Linked DNA regions of Schizosaccharomyces pombe. Changing the gene in region 1 together with any one later gene gives a genetic interaction. Each region holds a gene or a part of one and is shown in the gene's direction. Other genes may lie near its edges.

Region 1 (6,069 bases):
GCTTACTCTTATATTAACAACGGTCAAGCAGGCTCTTCCAAAGGTAACCGATATGATAGTTTGTGGTAGGAACTCATATCACGCTTTAATGATCACAGAAATACATCTCAACACCTAATCCGCCATATTTGCTTTAAAAAAAGTAGTTTTATTTTATATAGTTGCTCACTACAATTCTCGCTATTGTACATGTGAATCCCATTGCGTTAAAAATTAGACAAGATATAAGAATAATGTACAATTAATAAACATCTTTTAAATCAACGAAATAACACAGAGACCATACTTCGCAAACAAACAAATTGGCTATTTACAAAAATTGAATTACAAGCTGTTTGGATTTATTCGCTATCGCTCTCAACAATCCGACGCTTCACTCTTCTTTGTACAGAACCATCACCGACAGAAGTCTCTGTAACGGTCTCGGATCTGTCAGTTTCCACTGCGCTAGGAATTACCTCATCGTCTTCATATTTATTAATAGTAGCTCGTGCTACACTTGCTTCTTTATCCGCATCAAATCCTTTTATATCGGAGCCAGCTCCAACTTCTTCTTCATCCTCTTCATCTTCTTCTTGTTCCTCTTCTTGTTCCTCTTCCTCTTCCTCTTCCGCTATAAAGTCACCAAGGTCATCTTCTTCATTTTCTTCCAGATCCTTATTATAACCACGATATTGACCAGCTCCTTCTTGTTTAATTCGTTTTAAACGATCCATACGGTCACTGTCAATGATTTCATTTTGTTCGCTATAAGTAGAACGGGGACCGTAGAAGGAAGAGTAATCCTCTTCTTCTTCTCCTGTTCCATTCTGATAATTGTTCAATTGCTTTCTTTTCTCTAAACGTCGCCGAGCTCGACTTCGTTCCTCCTCATATTTTTCAGCCTGACGCTTTAGTAGTTCTGGATCCTTTTCAATAATAATTTCTTGTACGCTTCGACTAGGAACCTGGACTGTGGTGAGACGCATAGATGGCAATTTTGATCTTGTAGCAGTGTTAATGGCTGAAGGGAGGAATGTAAAACTGCTTTTGAAGGATGTTTGAACTCTCAGTAAATGTTGTGCTTCATGTGAGGCAGTAACAAAAGTTGGTTGAGATATTAATTTATTTTGGGTATCATATATGTCGTTACCAATGCGAAGTGAATATGAACCATCAGACCATTGTACAATTTGCGCATTCGATTGATAGCTTCCAGACGGCCCCAATCGCCAGCGGACAGTATTATCAACTTTATGTTTTATTCTTTGACCCCAATGCGCGTCGTGTTCTAATAAAGCTGCATCTGCTTCGGCTTCCGCGGCGTACTGCTCTGGATCGTACGGAGTCTGTTCCACAGAAAGGAAATTTGGAATATGAGCATGAAACACGTCATTACTAGCAGAAGCTGGTGATTTGAAATTGGGAACAGCGACTTCAAGGACTTTCTTTACAGGAACACTAACATTTGTTAGGATGCATAGATTTAAATAGCTTGCTATAGTAAAAGACGCTAATTTTTGATTTTTTACTAAAAAGCCTCATGAAGCGATTTATTACTTTCACCACTGTGGCAGCTGTATAATAAATACACATTTAGAACTACCATCGGCTAGAATCAATTCGCTTCATCTATAAGACTGCAACTTACTCTGCTTCAGGGGCTTCAGTAGCCTCTTCTGTATTCGAAAACAAGCCGTCATCGCTAACGGCTGTTTCACTATCGTTTTCTATATGGCCATTTATAAGTTCATCTTGCTGCGAAGTATGATTGTCTTCATTCTCACTAAACAAATCATCTTCCTCTTGACCGTTGCGGATGTCTTCTTTAGAATCCGACATTAAATCTATTTAAATTCCTCAAAAATTCACCAGTCTAAACTTTCCAGATTGGTTCCGGTCAGAATACGTATGGTGTTGTACTAAGATGCATTAAATTGAATAATCACTAGAAGGTACAATCCTGTTACTTGTAGTGCATGGTGGTGGTAGAAAGCTTAGGGTAGCTCATAGTTAAAACCCATACCCGTGTTTCCACTTTATATTTTGAGTTATATTTATTATTGTCAAAGTATATAGCGAATATTTTTTGTAAAATCATTTAAAATCTGATAATTTAACTTTTACTTTTATTGTATTGTTAGGTGTACAGGCGAATTATCTACTATTTTGATTACAGACCTCAAGCTTGTTAAGATTTATTTTTGATTTTTAATTCTTCCTTCTTATAAAATGGCACCTGCACCACCGCCTCCTCCTCCAGCACCAGCGCCTGCTGCTGCTGCTCCGGCCCCCCCTCTAATGACCGGAGATCGATCAGCTCTGCTCAATTCTATCCAGAAAGGAAAGAAACTAAAAAAAGCTACAACGAACGACCGATCGGCTCCCGTTGTCGGAGGAGGTGTCGTAGGCGAACGTAAATCTAACACTCCAAAAAGCTTTGCTGCTCCTCCTGTACCCACAGGCGCACCCTCTTTACCGACTTCTTCAAATAATACTCAGCAAGCAGAAGAGAGACCTTCCATGCCTGCATTAGGAGGTTTATTTGCTGGCGGCATGCCTAAGCTTCGTCATATTGGAAAGTCAAGTGCTTCAGCCGCACCACCTTCCGCTCCTGCTCCTCCTACTCCACAATCTGAGTTGCGTCCGCCAACAAGTGCGCCCCCTCGACCTTCAATTCCTCCACCATCTCCTGCATCTGCTCCACCTATTCCTTCAAAGGCACCTCCTATTCCATCGTCTCTACCTCCACCTGCACAACCTGCTGCACCGGTGAAATCTCCTCCTTCAGCTCCTTCATTGCCCTCAGCGGTACCTCCGATGCCACCTAAAGTTCCTCCACCTCCTCTATCTCAAGCTCCTGTTGCTAATACATCATCACGCCCTTCTTCTTTTGCTCCACCAGCAGGACATGCACCTAACGTTACATCAGAATCTCCTAAATTTCCTAATAGAGGTCCATCCATTCCTTCAGCTTCTGTTCCTCCAGTTCCTCCATCTTCTTACGTCTTGCAGCAGCGACCTAATCGTGGTAAGTTTGCGATCATTAAAAGCATTATTTTTTTATTAACACAAAACTCTAGTTGATGATCATGGAAGATTCCACTTTAAGGATGATAGTTACTTACCAATTCCTCATCCCTTTCTTGGAGTCCCTAAAGTTTATCGGGGTGGTAGTGGCACTACGGTCCCTTTGAATCTCTCTTCATTTTAACAAATCTTTTTAAAGCTGTGTACGATTAATCTACTACCAGTGTTTAGTTGTTAAACACAGAATTTTCTTTCGTTAGATGGATACTAATAATTACTCAGTGATAGAAAAAAACTAAAAATTCATGCGGCCTTTTTTATGAATATTAAAATTATTTATAAAGATTCATTAATCCTTATAAATAAATCGTTAAATAAACTCTAAAATTAATAAATTAATGTATAAAAAAGGATTATCGTACAACAAAAAAACGAATGTTCTTAAATAGCCCCAAAAAACTCCCAATTGCCCAAATTTAGTAAAAAGTTACGACTGCTCTTCGTCAAATAACATATCCAAAGCTTCATAGTTGATTTTTTTTGAAAAAGCTCTTTGTTGCATCATTTCTTTTGCACTTTCAGCAGCAGTATCGGCTATTCCATCACTAGTGCTATCTCTAGGACGATATCGTCTTCTTTTACGAGGTTGTCGGACAATTCCTTTTTTTAAATCTTCTTGGAGTTTTAAATTTTTCGCCTCTTCCTCAGCTAAATAATCTTTATTCAACTCCATCCAAACTTGAGTTTTAGTCAATATTTCATCCTTGTCAAGCAAAATATCTTCAATTTCATCATCATCAACGTCTTCTAAGGTAACTTCTTCCTCCGAAAATTTAACGTTAACTTGTAGAGAAATCTTTCTAAGTTCATCGCCCTTAAGGGTTTCAGTAACCTCTTTCCTAATTTCTCTTTCATCGGCCTTCAAATGCACAGGAGTTTCTTGAGATTCAACTTTTACTGTTTGCGAAAGCTCTTCAGACTTAACTTCGTTGCCATCAAAATCCGGGGTCCTTTTAATAGGGGACATGTATTCTTGTGTGTGATCAATGTTTGAAACTTTTTGAGCACCGTATTGTTGAAACTTTTGATTTTTAGTAAAGCTAGGAGGATCGCTCTGTCCTTCCAGCCAAATGTTTCGAAAGTCGGCGATTGAAAGATCACCGCTCTCAGTTAATTTAAACTCATCAAGGCGTTTTTGAATAGTGATATCCGCAACTTTCACGACATGAACCACTTCTCGTACGCTTCGTCGAAAATTATTCATTCTTGCTGCAATGAGTAAGCATGCACCACAAATTCCAGCTGGCCGACGACCAATTTGCATCCAGTCTCTATTCATTCGCGCTACCAATCTGATAGCGTCGTTTGCGACACGATGTGTTTCCGGTCCAAATTCGAGTAAAGAAGCAAATCTACTGATATATAAAGACGGATCTAAAAGAGGTAAATTAGGCCTTAAAACGCGGCACAACTTGAGAAAAGTAGACCCAAGCTTAAAAACGTTAATTTGCAAAATATCAGAAAAATCGATTAACATATGAGACGTCTTAGATATCCGGCAAACAATATACAAACAGGATGCAACAACGTATTGCGATCTCCTTCCTTTTATAAAGTTGTTGTTAATTGCCAGTGTAAAGTAGCGAACTGCTGCTTCGATATGGCGTTCGTTAAGTTTTAAAGCAATTGCCAATGCCGAAATTCGGCGACGTCCGTTTGCAATGGTAAGTTCTCTGGATTCTACGGATCCTTGATTTCTGTAAGGGCCACCAAAAGTCCGAGCATGAGCTAAAGCTGTGTTAGATATAAGTCGATGAAAAATATGGACGAAGAGGTGTCTATTAGTAAAAGATCAAACCAAAATTTAACACAGACTGAACAAAAAAAGGTGACTGCATCAGAACTGTAAAACACCGCATTGCTGGATGATTGCCTTCTAACTTACTTTGATCATTACTCACAAGAGAACCCTGAACAACAGCTGCACCAGTTGAAGCCTCTCCGAATGTCACTTCCGAAACAATTGCATCTTGCTCGACGACAACACCGCATTGTGTACTATTCAATGGTTAGCAGTCAATTGCCACGTTAAAATTATATAATAAAAAAAACAACTTACCAATATGTATTTCCAGAAGCGGTATCAGATTCAAAAGTAGTTGAACCGCAATTTGGACATCCCATGGCGAATAACTGAAAACACTTGGGCGTTAGCTGTTTGGGAAATGGTATTTATCAAAGATTAAGTTTAACCCACATGGAGTACTTAAGTGGGGGGGGGGGAAAGAAATATCACTGCAAATATGCATACTAGCATATATTTTAAAGGTCTACAGAGAATTTAATCGGGTTTAATTGTTTGTTATTTTATTTTGTTTTTTTGTTCTTTTTTAATGGTTTGGAAATGAAGAGCGTTAAAATAAAATTAAAAATAGTAAATTGAACTTTGCTTCTGTATATGGTATTTGGACTTTTTAGTTTAATATATATTATAACAATTTTTACTAGTAAATTCTCTAGTTTATCTCGAGCATTGCAAGTTTAGCAAATGATTAATGAATCGTGACTATATGGTTCATTAAATCTTTTTATGTTAATTAACTTGTTAAAAACATTGTTTGGCATATATATTTATATAAGATTATGCAAGTAACGTAATTAGGAGAATAAAAAGTAAGACAGAATATATAAAGAAATAACTTAAATTGCTTGAAGTTAAATAAATATTGGTAAAGATCTTAAGGTACTGTGAGAAGCGTAAGCGGATTCTTATTTCTCTATCTTAGGCAACACTAGCGTTTCTATGCATACAACCTCATAGTCCTTACTCACCTTTTCTCACATATATTTAATACGCAGATGAATCGTTTGAATTTTCAAAGTTTACTCTGGAAATTTGGACAAAAAAGGTTTTATTACAGACCATGGATCAGAATTGAAAATATTAAACCAACACCATTATGGAAACCGATTACATTTGCTGTTGGTGTTGGTTCTGCCACCTTTTATACGGCCAATTATCTCGATAAAAGAAGAAAAAACTACCCCAAAAGCTCATAC
Region 2 (6,508 bases), 2.0 Mb from region 1:
AAGGAGGCAGATTTGTTAGTTAATGGAAGTGATGCTGTTCAAGCCGATGAGCTACTGAATATTCGCCAATTTCAAAGGGTCATTGAAGAAAAGCAGGATCTTAATTTTGAGTCCGACATCATACAAGCCACCAACGATGGTATGGTAGTGGAAGATTTGGCATCTAAATTAGATCATATCGTACAATTAGCCGGTTTTACAGATCCTGTTTACTGTGAGGCATATGTGAAGATACAACAATTTGATATTATTCTAGACATATTATTGGTTAATCGAACGGATACCACGTTACAGAATCTCTCTGTTGATTTGGCTACGTTGGGAGATCTTAAGGTTGTAGAGCGTCCACCACCCATGAATTTAGGACCTCATGCCTTTAAATCTGTTCAGGCTACGGTAAAGGTATCTTCAACGGAGTCTGCAGTAATCTTTGGAAATATCGTGTATGGTGGTAAAGCATCCGACGAAGACAAAATTGTTGTTTTGAATGGCATTCCAGTCAACATTATTGATTATATAAAACCCGCATTCATTCCCGAATCTCAATTCCGTAGCATGTGGACGGAATTTGAATGGGAAAACAAGGTCGATATTTCTTCCAACGAAGACATTAGTCTGTACGATTTCTTACATAAAATAATGAAGAAAACCAATATGAACTGTCTTACTCCAGACGCGTCTCTGCGTGGTGACTGTGGTTTTTTGAGTGCTAATTTGTACGCCTGCAGTATTTTTGGGGAAGACGCACTTATGAGTCTTAGCGTTGAAAAATCCGTCTCCGGTCCTATCTCAGGACATGTTCGCATTCGTTCAAAAACTCAAGGCATTGCCCTTAGCTTGGGTGCATTTGTTTAGAGTAGAATTATATAAGGAATGTTATCCACTCTTTAAATTTCTTGATGGATTAAATTCACAATGGGAAAGCTGTTATGGATGCTGATTTAGTAGGTATATCATGTGTCTAATATTTCGCTAAATCGATATCTGATACGCTGTTTTATTACTCTTGTTGTAAATACCTTTCCTGCCGTTCTTTATTTAGCTCCTTATGATATTTCTACGATTTCGCAATTAAAAGGAGCCTGCCTTGTCATGTTCTCACTACTTGATATCCTGACATTACTAAAGTTGTGTACCTTGTATTTCTCTGTAACAGGCAAGTAGATTAGCTTTCATCTCGTGCATTTAGTTTGGTATTATATATAAACCCCGTTATTTCAATTAATTATGGCACTCACAAACGTTGTCTATAAATCACTGTTTGTATTCTTTTATAAATGATATAAACAGATGATTATGTTTAAGTTACTGCAAATCATATAGCTTCTCTCATATTGTGTTACATCCTAATATCTGTAATAAGTTAATTGTCATAGAATATACTCAAGGTCAATACGAGAACTACAGTTGTATTTGCTGGGGAATTCAACCTTTTATGTCGCGTTATAATAATCTGCGGCTGCTTTGGTTCTTGAAACGGCGATAGCCGTTATATCTAAAATACTTCAAAACTTCTCGCTTTATGAAAGGTATCTTCGACTTAAAATATTCATAATTGAAAATTCATGTTCATTTAATTCATCTTATCGACTACATGAACACACAATAATCAAATCAAGTATTAACTAATTCAAGCGCGTTATGTTTATCACTTCATCATAATTAGTCGCAAATTTCATACCTTTAGTGTGTTCGTTACCTTACCTAATGAAGTTACCCTAAAACACATTTGGATAAGTTTCGTTCGAGTATGTTACATAACAAGCCTCTTTCGGCTAGGTAATTGTTTTAATGTCAATACCAAAAATGGATGAAGCAAACGACAGAAAGCTAAAGTATATTCAATTTTCAGCTAAAGTACAATTTTAATAATTGGGGTCTGAAGTTTCGAACGGTCTTTGGCAATATTGACCTAGAAACTCATATTTCGCTCATTTTAACGATCCGTAACGCAATTATCTCAGTATTAGAAGAAACCTACACGTAAGTGCGGACTTGTCGTTAACCTATCTCTTGTTCGGCCATAAGTGAATAGATTTTATGGTAAGTAAATATGCATGCCGAATGTTAGCTAATTAATAAATTAGGCCATCCTTAAGAGAACAAACCGCGCGAAAGCTGCGACTGCAGCTGCTCCCAATAGCACTGGGAAAAGCAATGGTATTAAAAAGGCTGTTTATACCAGCACACGCAAAAAGACTGTGGGTGTTGATGATTTAACCCTACTTTCGAAAATTACAGATGAGGAAATTAACAAAAACTTGGAACTGAGATTTCGCAATGGAGAGATTTATACATATATTGGACATGTGTTGATTTCTGTAAATCCATTTCGAGACCTGGGTATTTATACGATGGATATTTTGAAATCATATCAAGGAAAAAACCGTTTGGAAACGAGCCCTCACGTTTATGCAATTGCTGAGAACGCTTACTATCAAATGAAGTCTTATCATGAGAATCAATGTATTATCATTTCTGGTGAATCGGGTGCTGGTAAGACTGAGGCTGCAAAAAGGATCATGCAATATATTACACATGTTTCAAAGTCCGTTGGCACTGAAATTGAAAGAGTTTCCGAAATTATTTTAGCTACCAATCCTTTATTGGAAAGTTTTGGTTGTGCAAAAACTCTTCGCAATAATAATTCTTCTCGTCATGGAAAGTATTTAGAAATGATTTTTAATTCCGGAGGTGTTCCTGTCGGCGCTAAAATTACGAACTACTTATTAGAAAAGAACCGAATTGTTAATCAAGTTCGCAATGAGCGTAATTTCCATATTTTCTATCAATTCACCAAGAGCGCTCCTCAGAAATATCGTGATACATATGGCATTCAAGGTCCGGAGAATTATGTTTACACTTCTGCTTGTCAATGTTTGTCGGTTGATGGGATTTCAGATGAGAAGGACTTCCAAGGAACGATGAACGCCATGAAGGTTATTGGTATCACCGAGCCGGAGCAAGATGAAATATTTAGGATGCTTTCTATCATCCTTTGGTTAGGAAATATTCAATTTCAAGAAGGCCAAGATGGTGGTAGCGTGATTTCTGACAAGAGCATCACCGAATTTTTAGGCTATTTGATCGGTGTTCCTGTTGCGGCTATTGAGCGTGCCTTGACAATTCGTATTATGCAAACTCAGCATGGTGCAAGGCGCGGATCTGTATATGAAGTCCCCTTAAATCCAACACAAGCTTTGGCTGTTCGTGATGCTTTGTCTATGGCGATTTATAACTGTCTTTTTGATTGGATTGTCGAACGTGTCAACAAAGCTTTGGTCACATCAGACAACAGCGTTTCCAATTCGATTGGTATTTTAGATATTTACGGCTTTGAAATCTTTGAAAACAACTCTTTTGAACAATTGTGCATTAACTATGTTAATGAAAAATTGCAACAAATTTTTATAGAACTTACTTTGAAAACTGAACAGGAAGAATACGTGCGTGAGCAAATTGCTTGGACTCCTATCAAATATTTCAACAATAAAGTTGTATGTGATTTGATTGAATCCAAACGACCTCCTGGTCTTTTCGCAGCAATGAACGACGCTATCGCTACCGCTCATGCTGACTCTGCTGCGGCGGATAGTGCTTTTGCTCAGCGGTTAAACTTTTTATCCTCCAATCCACATTTTGAACAGAGACAAAATCAATTTATAGTCAAACATTACGCTGGTGATGTAACCTACAGCATTACAGGAATGACCGATAAGAATAAGGATCAGTTAGCAACTGATATTCTTAACCTTATTCATTCTTCCAACAACGAGTTCATGAAATCTATTTTCCCAGTGGCTGAAGAGAGTAACTCCCGTCGTCGTCCTCCTACAGCTGGTGATCGTATCAAAACTTCTGCTAATGATTTAGTAGAGACTCTTATGAAATGTCAACCATCGTATATACGTACGATTAAACCCAATCAGACTAAGTCGCCTAACGATTACGATCAGCAGATGGTTTTACATCAAATCAAATATTTAGGTTTGCAAGAAAACATTCGTATTCGTCGTGCTGGTTTTGCTTATCGTCAAGCTTTCGATACGTTTGCTCAGCGTTTTGCAGTTCTTAGTGGTAAAACCAGTTATGCAGGAGAATACACTTGGCAGGGTGATGATAAGTCTGCTTGCGAACAGATTTTGAAAGATACCAATATTCCTTCATCTGAATACCAAATGGGTACTAGCAAAGTTTTCATTAAAAATCCGGAGACCTTATTCGCGCTCGAAGACATGCGTGATAAGTTTTGGGATACAATGGCAACCCGTATACAACGTGCTTGGCGTTCTTATGTTAGAAGAAGATCTGAAGCTGCTGCTTGTATTCAGAAGTTGTGGAATAGGAACAAAGTTAACATGGAACTTGAACGTGTTCGTAATGAGGGTACTAAACTTTTGCAAGGTAAAAAGCAACGCAGAAGATATAGTATTTTGGGATCCCGTAAGTTTTATGGAGATTATCTATCAGCTTCAAAGCCTAATGGTACTCTATGGAACACATGCGGCCTCTCTCAAAACGATCACGTAATTTTCTCAATGAGATGTGAGGTCCTTGTTCATAAGCTAGGCCGCACTTCCAAACCTTCTCCTCGTCAACTGGTTCTTACCAAAAAGAATTTATATTTGGTGATTACAAAAATTGTTGACCAAAAGCTCACACAACAGGTGGAGAAGAAGTTCGCTGTATCTTCCATCGATTCTGTTGGTCTTACAAATTTGCAAGATGATTGGGTTGCAATTCGTAATAAGTCCAGCCAAAATGGAGATATGTTTTTGCGATGCTTTTTCAAAACAGAATTTATAACTACCTTAAAGAGAATCAATCGTAATATTCAAGTTATCGTGGGTCCCACCATTCAATACTGCCGAAAGCCTGGCAAGGTACAAACTGTTAAGACGGCAAAAGACGAAACCACTAAGGATTATGACTACTACAAGAGTGGAACTATTCATGTTGGTACTGGCTTGCCTCCTACCAGTAAGAGTAAGCCTTTCCCTCGCTTAGCAACTGGTGGTAGTACAGCAGCTGCTAGAGGGCCTCGCCCAGTTGTGCAGAACAAACCTGCTGCTACAAAGCCCGTATCTATGCCGGCTGCGAAGAGCAAACCTGCTCCTATGGCTAATCCCGTAAGTACTGCTCAACAAACCCAAAATCGTCCCCCTGCTCCTGCTATGCAAGCTCGTCCTAATACAACTCAAGCTGCAGCCCCAGTTACAAGTACGACTACAACTATTAAGCAAGCAACCACTGTTTCTGCTTCTAAACCAGCTCCTTCCACGGTAACTTCTGCAGCTTCTTCTCCAAGCAATATCTCTAAACCCTCTGCTCCAGTTGCTAATAACGTCAGCAAGCCTAGTGCTGTTCCTCCTCCTCCTCCTCCTCCTCCCGCTGAAGTCGAAAAGAAAGACTTGTACTTGGCCTTATATGACTTTGCGGGACGCAGTCCAAATGAAATGACTATCAAGAAAGACGAAATTATAGAAATTGTTCAAAAGGAGCCAAGCGGGTGGTGGCTTGCTTTAAAGAATGGTGCTGAAGGATGGGTTCCCGCAACCTATGTGACAGAATACAAAGGTTCTACACCTCAAACCACCGCTTCTTCGACTAATGTTGCAGCTCAAGCGAATAATAATGCTAGTCCAGCTGAAGTCAACAACTTAGCTGGTTCACTTGCTGATGCCTTGCGCATGCGAGCATCAGCTGTGCGTGGTAGTGATGAAGAAGAAGATTGGTGAGCTTTCATTATGATGTATATATAATACGGCCAGTACATTGCTTGATTCTTAATTTGCAATAATGAATGGCTTGTGACAACTATAGTCTCTCCTATCGCATGTTTTTTAGCTATCAATGAAAGCTTCTAGTATTTGCTTCTTGCATGTTTTATTGTGATAGATTGAGAATACTCTTCGTCGACGACTTTGATTAAGCAAAGCTAAATAGTAATTTAATTGTGAAATATAGTTGATACATTGCATAGCGTATACTTATAAATGGGACAAAAGTGATAGCTTCTGTAATAATATTAAAATCATTATCTTGTTTATTGTTTGAATAAATTAGTCAGCTCCAGTGGTAAAACGTAAATATAGTATAGTAGACTTCGACAATACTAAATTCCATTAGCTACCGTAGAAAGAATGAAGTTTTTCAAGCTAGCACTGCGATCAAATAATGAAAGTCCAAGGGTTCGTACAGAAGTGACCACCGGATTTTCCATTGCGTACAGCTTGTGGAACTTATCAACGACTCCTAGATAAACATGGTTTTTGAAGTAACGGTCACGGAAATACGGTTGGAGTGAAAAAACACTACCAATATCCTGACCGTGCTTGATAGCAAAAGAGAGTGCTGATATTAAAGATTCAACATCCTGAATTCCAGTATTTAATCCCTGTCCAGCTAATGGATGAGTGTTATGAGCAGCGTCCCCGCAAAGGGCAATTCCTTCTTTTACATATTCATCAACATGGGCAAGTCTCAACGGAAATGCCGCCCTAGAACC
Region 3 (7,481 bases), on another chromosome or scaffold:
ATTATACATATTCTGGGGTGAAAAGAAAAAATTTGATAAACTTCCATTTGCTTTATGATTGTTCATTAGCCAAAGGATGTTCAACGATTTCACCAACTTTTGCCTTATAACCCACAGGCAACGCTTGCAGGAGTAAGCGTACATCTTCAATTTTTTTGTTTTCCAACTCTTTACGAAATGCTTCATCTTGACGAGGATCGAGATGTTGTTTCATAGCTTCGCGAGCATCTTCACGTATCCATAATGGTTCGTCGCTCAACTCAACCATATATTGACAACTTTTTAGAAAGCAATCCTTCGAGCAATAATAGTTGAGTCCACCGTAGACCTTCATTCCTGAATCTTCTAATTTATACCTAGTTTGCTGCTTAGGTTCATAAGGACAAACGGGATAACCGCACAGATTGACGAGTTTACGCTCCTTCACCACTTGATCGTAATCACTTTTTCGAAGGTATTTACGAGCTTCCTCTAAAGTTTCTAGGGAAACCGGATCAACCAGCTTTTCAATCCATTCGAGGGCAAAAAAATCATACTGAAGTCGACTGCGTGCTTCATCTATAAGACTCTTCGACCACGTGATCAATTGCTTTTCTTGAGTGCTTTGAGCATTTTTCGGCTTTTTGAGAATTGATTTTTTGTTCATATCTGAATTGGATATATTGGAGTCAGCTGGAAAACAGAAGGTCTTAAAAATCGCTATTAGGCAGATATGAGTCAGTCAAGCATTGGAAGGAGGAATGAGCATCGTAAAAATACTTTAGCGCCGTGCAATTTTTGTTAAAGAGTTCTTGAGTTACGCAATTCATTTACAGCGAACTAAGACAGTGCGTTGGCCTTGGTACTAAAAATTTTGATAGAAATTACCCTCTCAGTTGAGTGTGGACAAAGGAAAAAAAATAAAGAAAAGCATGCGTTGCACCAATCATGTAAAGAAAGTTTTGTAGGTCTCTTTAAGAAAATCATTTTACCGTTAAAAATAATAATGATAAATTTACATCCACCCTATTCATATCTTCCACTAGTAAATAACTGGTCCTTAATCTTAATGATTCATATCCATATCCATACCATACCCCACACCCACACAGTAATCGTAAATATAGCAAACCAACGATGCTGTGGCTTCGTTTTAGGATTGCTAGTGTATCCTTATGTAAAATAGGAAACCAGATCCAATTGCGTAAATATTATTATAACGTTAAATAACAAAAACCAATCAACATTGATAAGCAAAATAATACCCAATAATCTTACAGTGCATTACGCTACCTTTGGCTAGTCGAACGAATCACTGTCAACAAGATGTTACGATTGGAAGGGAATTCCCCAGATCCTTTCCCCACAATGTTCATTCATTGAAAATCGTCTCACATGTAGTCAGTCGCTTCTTCACGTGCGATATTATCATTTGGGTGTTTATTGCTGTTAAGATTGACCAAACTTCTTTGTCTGCACAAATCGCGTGCCCTTTAGGAACCAAAATGACAGTGTACTGGCTTAGATATCCTAATAGAAGAGATTAACGATGACGTTCAGCTTCGCTATCATTTGTATATATTTTTAGTGGTAAAATAAATCGGCGGAGCCTTCATCTTTGGTATCTTGTTTTCTCTTTTTTTGGCTTTTTGTATATCTGTGTTTTAGGAAAAAAGAATCAGTGTATTGTATATTGAATGGTACCATTCTTTTTATACTGGTTCATTGTTTATCTGATCTCTCTTTGTACTTAAAAAAAGTATTAGCGGATCGCAGGCTCCACGATGAGCTCGTTTCCCACAAGAGTGGTTGCACTCTATCCTTATAGAAGCAGCTTCTCCGATGACTTGGAATTTGATCCAGGCCAAGTTATCGACGTCGTCAGTAATCTGGACGGCGACTGGTATACCGGAACATATGTGGACTCGGACGGTAACAGGAAAATTGGCTCCTTTCCAAAGGACTTTACCGAGCCAGCAGAGGATGCTGTGTTTGTAGAACGTGCTAGCGAAATGGCTCTTCATCAACCTACGCCAACTAGTGCTGTTCATTCTCGCAACTCTTCCTTAGGTTATGCTCCTTCTATTACACGTAGCATCAAGTCGATTTCCAACAATACAGAGCATCTTGGTGCCGATACAGAATCATATCTTTCAGCTAATGACTTTATTGACAGTACAAGTGAAGCACTTACGAAGATAGTTGATGTGGATACATTGAGTGCGCCATTCGGTAACGACAGCAACTCGCGTCCACATTCTTTAAAAAATGTGGAAAAATTGCATACATTCTCAGCTCCATATACCATATCTGAAGAGACGCCATCTTGCTCCACTGAGAACGACTCGCTACCACTTACCGCTACTCACACTATTACTGGTGGTGAGGATGCTGCTACCGGTGCTGCTGTAACCAACACCACCACTACCCACATTACTACTTCCACCAACACGTCTACCGTCATCCCCTCTAACCCAAATTCAGTTTTTCTTGTCGATTGTACTCATTCACAGTGCCCAACTGATTTACCAAACATCGCAACTACCCAACACTCTTTAAGGTATCTTGATAACGCATCTGCATCCGCAATAACCGTTTTGGAACGCACTCATCCCGCAGCTTCTTCCACCATGGCTACTGAGTCCTCCCATCAATCTCCGTCTGCGGACTCACAGGCAGAAGAATTATCAAAGAGCCAGCGAGTTGCAAAGGATGACGATCCTTTTGTTGTTTCCAATACTGCGAATTCCGATGAGCCAGCTTCAAGCTCAAAGCCCGCTAAACCCCTTACTGATTTGAATCGAGCCTTTTCTCAGCGCCTTAACTTGGATCCTCAAAAGCCCGGTAAATCACAGGGCGAAATCAGTGAGCAGGAGGAAGATGAATATGACGATGCTGAGTCAGATGAGATGCACAGTCCCTATAGCACTCACGAACCCGAATCTGAACCTGAAGACCAGGATGAACCATCGGAAAAGGATGATGAGAATAAAGATGTAGAGGAAGAACAAGAACAAGAGCAGGAGGAAGAACAAATTGATCCCGAAGAAGCTAAACGAATTGCCCTACGCGAACGAATGGCAAAAATGAGTGGAGGTATTGGTATGCATGTTTTTGGATTGCCTGGTCTAGCTGCACCTATTGGACGGAAAAACACTTTGAGGAGAACTCCTGCCAAATCCTCCGAGGAAGCAAAGAGCACCACTAATGACTCTTCTCCACCAAAAGACTCTTCTTCCACTTCTACTCAACCTACTGAACAATCGAATGCTCAGCAGGCTCCGTCACCGAAGGAGGAGGAGCGTCCACTTCCTTCCGAACCTTCTCAAAACCAACCAGCAGAATACCGTGATACTCCTGATACCCCCCGGAATATAATGCCTTTACCAGGCCTTATGTCTGCCGACCAACCAATAAAGGTCACTGAGCCTTCCAACGATGCAGATAAAGCTATTGTTGCTGAGGGTCCCAATAATGAGGAAGAGACTAAGGGACCAGTAATCCCAGAAACTCAGGAAACTTCCGAACAGCAAGTTCATAAAACTCCTTCTCCGGAGAAGCAAAAAGTGCTTTCTCCTCCTCCAATTATTACTAACTTTGATAAGGAAACACTTGCCTCTAATGAAGCACACGAAGCGGTACCCCAAAAGCCTTCTGCTCCACAAGTCACTCGTCTCATGGCTCCACAAGATAGCTCTTCAGTGGTAACTCCTTCCCCAACTTCTTTGCTGGATCCTGCTCGTGCTGTTCGTAAAGTAATTGATGGAATTGATCCCCCGAAAGAAGCTGGTGCCGGTGCTACAGCTGATGTAGAATCGGCTGCTAACTCACCAATTACGCCTCCTCGCACCTGGCATTCGCCCGATTTTACCTCCAAGTCGTTTGAACCCATAGAGCGCAAACTTCCCAGTCGCATTTCTGAGGTCACTGAGGACAGTATTGACGAGGATAAGCAGAATGAAGTTGACCCTTCCACCAGTGCGCGTGCTCTTCCTCCGCCTGGCTTACGGTTTGGTAAAGTCGACACTTTAGCCAGTCTTGCACATGATGATTTAGATGATTTACCAGCAGTTCCACGTATATTTAGCCCACCTCCTTTGCCAAAGACGCCCTCTGGCGAATTTGGAGATAATGAATTTATGTTCCCAAAAAAGTCAAATCGTGTTCGTGGTCACCAGTCCAGACCTTCAACTGGTTCCCAACTTCGAAATGTTGTTCCTGTTTCTATTGTAACTTCTGGTGGTCGCCCCGCTTTACCCGACGAAATGGCCTCGCCTAGCTCTTCTATCGGTCATCCTTTACCATCTCCTCCTCCAGCGGATTTTAATAGTTTAAATGTGGATTTTTACGAACCTCATAGCTATCTTGAATCTCCTGCTCCCGAACCTCAACCTTCTTATGAGGAAGAAAGTTTTAATGCTACGGTAATACATGCTCCAACTCCTAGTACTGCTACTTTTCAAGGTCATCCTACCATATCAAATGTTGCTACTCCACCTTTGAAGCAAGATGTTACCGAAAGCAAAGCTTCTCCTGTTGCTGATGCCTCAGCAACACATCAATCTAGTACAGGGTTAACTCAAGAAATTACTCAATTAGGCTCAAATATGAGATTACCCACCAAGTTGACACGTCCATCAAACGATGGACGCAAAGCTTCTGGACCAAGGCCTGCTGCTCCTCCCTCTATTCCTCCACCTTTACCAGTAAGCAATATACTATCTTCGCCGACTTCTGAACCTCCAAAGGATCATCCACCCTCGGCGCCTTTGTCGAAACCAGTATCAACTTCACCTGCTGCTCCGCTAGCCAGGGTACCTCCAGTTCCTAAACTTTCGTCTAAAGCACCTCCGGTGCCATTGCCTTCAGCTGATGCTCCACCAATCCCAGTACCTTCTACTGCCCCTCCTGTACCCATACCCACTAGTACTCCACCAGTACCGAAATCTTCTTCTGGAGCTCCATCAGCACCACCACCAGTACCAGCACCTTCATCTGAAATTCCATCAATTCCAGCTCCGTCTGGAGCTCCACCGGTGCCAGCACCTTCTGGAATTCCACCAGTGCCAAAGCCTTCGGTCGCAGCCCCACCGGTACCAAAGCCTTCAGTTGCAGTTCCACCGGTGCCAGCGCCTTCAGGAGCTCCACCAGTTCCAAAGCCTTCAGTTGCAGCTCCACCAGTGCCAGTACCTTCGGGAGCTCCACCAGTTCCAAAGCCTTCAGTTGCAGCTCCACCAGTGCCAGCGCCTTCAGGAGCTCCACCAGTTCCAAAGCCTTCAGTTGCAGCTCCACCAGTGCCAGCACCTTCTTCTGGAATTCCACCAGTACCAAAGCCTGCTGCGGGTGTCCCACCGGTGCCTCCACCAAGTGAAGCTCCACCGGTACCAAAGCCTTCTGTGGGTGTTCCTCCAGTCCCCCCACCATCTACAGCTCCACCGGTGCCGACACCTTCCGCTGGGCTTCCACCAGTACCAGTTCCTACTGCAAAGGCTCCTCCAGTACCTGCACCTTCTTCTGAAGCCCCTTCAGTTTCGACACCAAGATCTTCGGTTCCGTCGCCACACTCGAATGCCTCACCTTCTCCAACTTCTTCTTCTATGGCTTCTGCTGCTCCAGCACGTACTTCAGTTTCAAGGTCGAAATCTAAAGCTGAAAGGCATGAAACATCGACAAGCAGTCGTAAGTCTTCAAAGTCTGGAGAACACCATCATCATCACAATGAAGGACATGCTGATTCATCTTCTACTCGTACGTCATTAGCGCATCAAGACAGTCGTAAATCTCTTCATCGACATCTTTCGCGCTCTTCGAGTAGAGCTAGTAAGAAACCTTCTATTGTCTCTACTACTGGACCTTTTAACGAAAGCTTTTCTGCAAAGCCGGTTGAGCCTTGCGCTTCTGAGAAATGGTGGCTGAATTCTACTGCTGTTCCTAAATCCGTAGTGCAGATGAATGACTCTGTTCTATATATGATAAAAGAAGGAATTACAGGGCAAGATAAAAAATACAAGTCTGTACACATACTGTTCCCTGACTACAGCCAAACAGTCTTGACAGCTACATTCAACCCACATAACCAAAATATTACACAATTATCTCAACTTCAACTAGCTCCACCAGCACAGCCTTCAAAAGCTAGATTAGATGAGGAATATGCTTGTTATGGCTCTACAATTTTGAAAAAAGCCCGAGCTTACCAAGGTAGCATGGTTGGTGATGGTTCTGCATTCACTTTTGTTAATTCCGTTATGTCGATACTGGCGCATAATCTCGAACCTATAAACAAACAGACTTTTGGAGGTGTGATTTACAAGAATGTTGGAAATGTTACTGTGCAACAAATTGGTGAGATTCGCCCAGGTGATATAGTTACATTTGATAAGGCTAAATTTAGTGGACAAAAAGGTACTCTTCGTTCAAAATACTCTCTTGAAGTTGGTAAGCCCATGCATTATGGTATCATATCAGAGTGGGATGTTTCGAAACTGAAGATTAGGGTGTTGGAACAAGGCAGAGAGTCCAAGAAGGTTTCAGTTGCAAGCTACAAATTCGGTGATTTAAAGAGTGGAGAAGTTACTGTGTGGCGTGTAATGCGTCGATCTTGGCTTGGTTGGAATTAATGGTAATTATTTTACTATGGTTTTAAGTTCTTATCATTTTATCACAAATAACTCAAACTTCCTAAAGAGCAGCACTCATTTTTTTAAATTGTTCAATTGCGAAGCAGATTTGAATAGTCCTTAATGATCGTCTGTCAGTATATTCTTTCACTGATATATCTTTGACGATTGGGATTATTTATATCATTTTTTGACGACACGCCCTATGTTTTTAGAAGACTTATATCTCGTGGAAGTTGTTTGCTGAATTATATTCACATATATACCAAAGATTGGGCTATGTGATTCAACTTTTGAAATATATATACACATCTACAGTCATTTTTATAGTATATGCTAATAATCAGTTATATCTAATTAAACAGTTGAAATGCACAATTAACAATGTATGGTAAAAGGATAAGATTTTGTAAGTTATTGAACTGTACTTAAAGACAATTTCGGAAAAAAAAAATCCTTTACAAAATTCTAACTCTTTTTTCAAACGCTTGCGCTTATATAATCAACAAAAAACATTTATTTCGAGGTGAAACCGAAAATAACGGTTAACTGAAATATATACCTAGTCAAGATTAACGAGAGTGACTTTCACTAACACCCAGAGAACAAGGATGTAACATTGCAAACCAAACAAACTTCTTAGAAAACACATTCAGTTCAAGTGTTATGACTGTTCACCAAAATGAACAACCGTCAAGTGCAAAACGCAGTTTAGGGTAAACTAGTAAATAGGGAAACAAATGGAAAGTGTAAGAGTCATTTGAAGCAATAGACCCATTATTGGTACAAGAATTTGATGCCACACAAAGAGAAGTAAGAATAAATAGATTGAAAGATTTTTTAAAGGAGAATCGTATGTCGTTAAGATTATTGCTAGTGGTA

Evidence for each region.
Region 2: mutations in vrp1 (region 1) and myo1 are lethal when combined (synthetic lethality), as found in Schizosaccharomyces pombe (one study listed by BioGRID).
Region 3: of vrp1 (region 1) and bbc1, changing one suppresses a phenotype caused by changing the other (phenotypic suppression), as found in Schizosaccharomyces pombe (one study listed by BioGRID).

Annotation. Positions count from the first base shown.
Region 1 is NC_003423.3:3,053,264-3,059,332, forward strand, and holds vrp1 (verprolin), read left to right. Parts: upstream 1-2,001; 5' UTR 2,002-2,211; coding exon 2,212-3,010; intron 3,011-3,062; coding exon 3,063-3,193; 3' UTR 3,194-3,496; coding exon of another isoform or gene 3,497-4,797; intron 4,798-4,812; 3' UTR 4,813-4,954; coding exon of another isoform or gene 4,955-5,067; 3' UTR 5,068-5,128; coding exon of another isoform or gene 5,129-5,193; 3' UTR 5,194-5,540; downstream 5,541-6,069. Other genes in the region: SPOM_SPBC13E7.07 (uncharacterized protein), read left to right, coding at 1-69; RNA polymerase II-associated Paf1 complex protein Leo1, read right to left, coding at 342-1,440, 1,631-1,821; transcription factor TFIIIB subunit Brf1, read right to left, coding at 3,497-4,797, 4,955-5,067, 5,129-5,193; rbd1 (rhomboid protease), read left to right, coding at 5,869-6,069.
Region 2 is NC_003423.3:1,023,463-1,029,970, reverse strand, and holds myo1 (myosin I myo1), read left to right. Parts: upstream 1-1,997; 5' UTR 1,998-2,040; coding exon 2,041-2,043; intron 2,044-2,087; coding exon 2,088-5,738; 3' UTR 5,739-6,008; downstream 6,009-6,508. Other genes in the region: coatomer beta subunit Sec26, read left to right, coding at 1-855; monooxygenase Coq6, read right to left, coding at 6,116-6,508. UniProt on the Schizosaccharomyces pombe protein: Type-I myosin implicated in the organization of the actin cytoskeleton. Required for proper actin cytoskeleton polarization.
Region 3 is NC_003424.3:4,105,064-4,112,544, forward strand, and holds bbc1 (SH3 domain-containing protein), read left to right. Parts: upstream 1-1,584; 5' UTR 1,585-1,763; coding exon 1,764-6,599; 3' UTR 6,600-6,981; downstream 6,982-7,481. Other genes in the region: RNA polymerase II CTD phosphatase Rtr1, read right to left, coding at 53-646.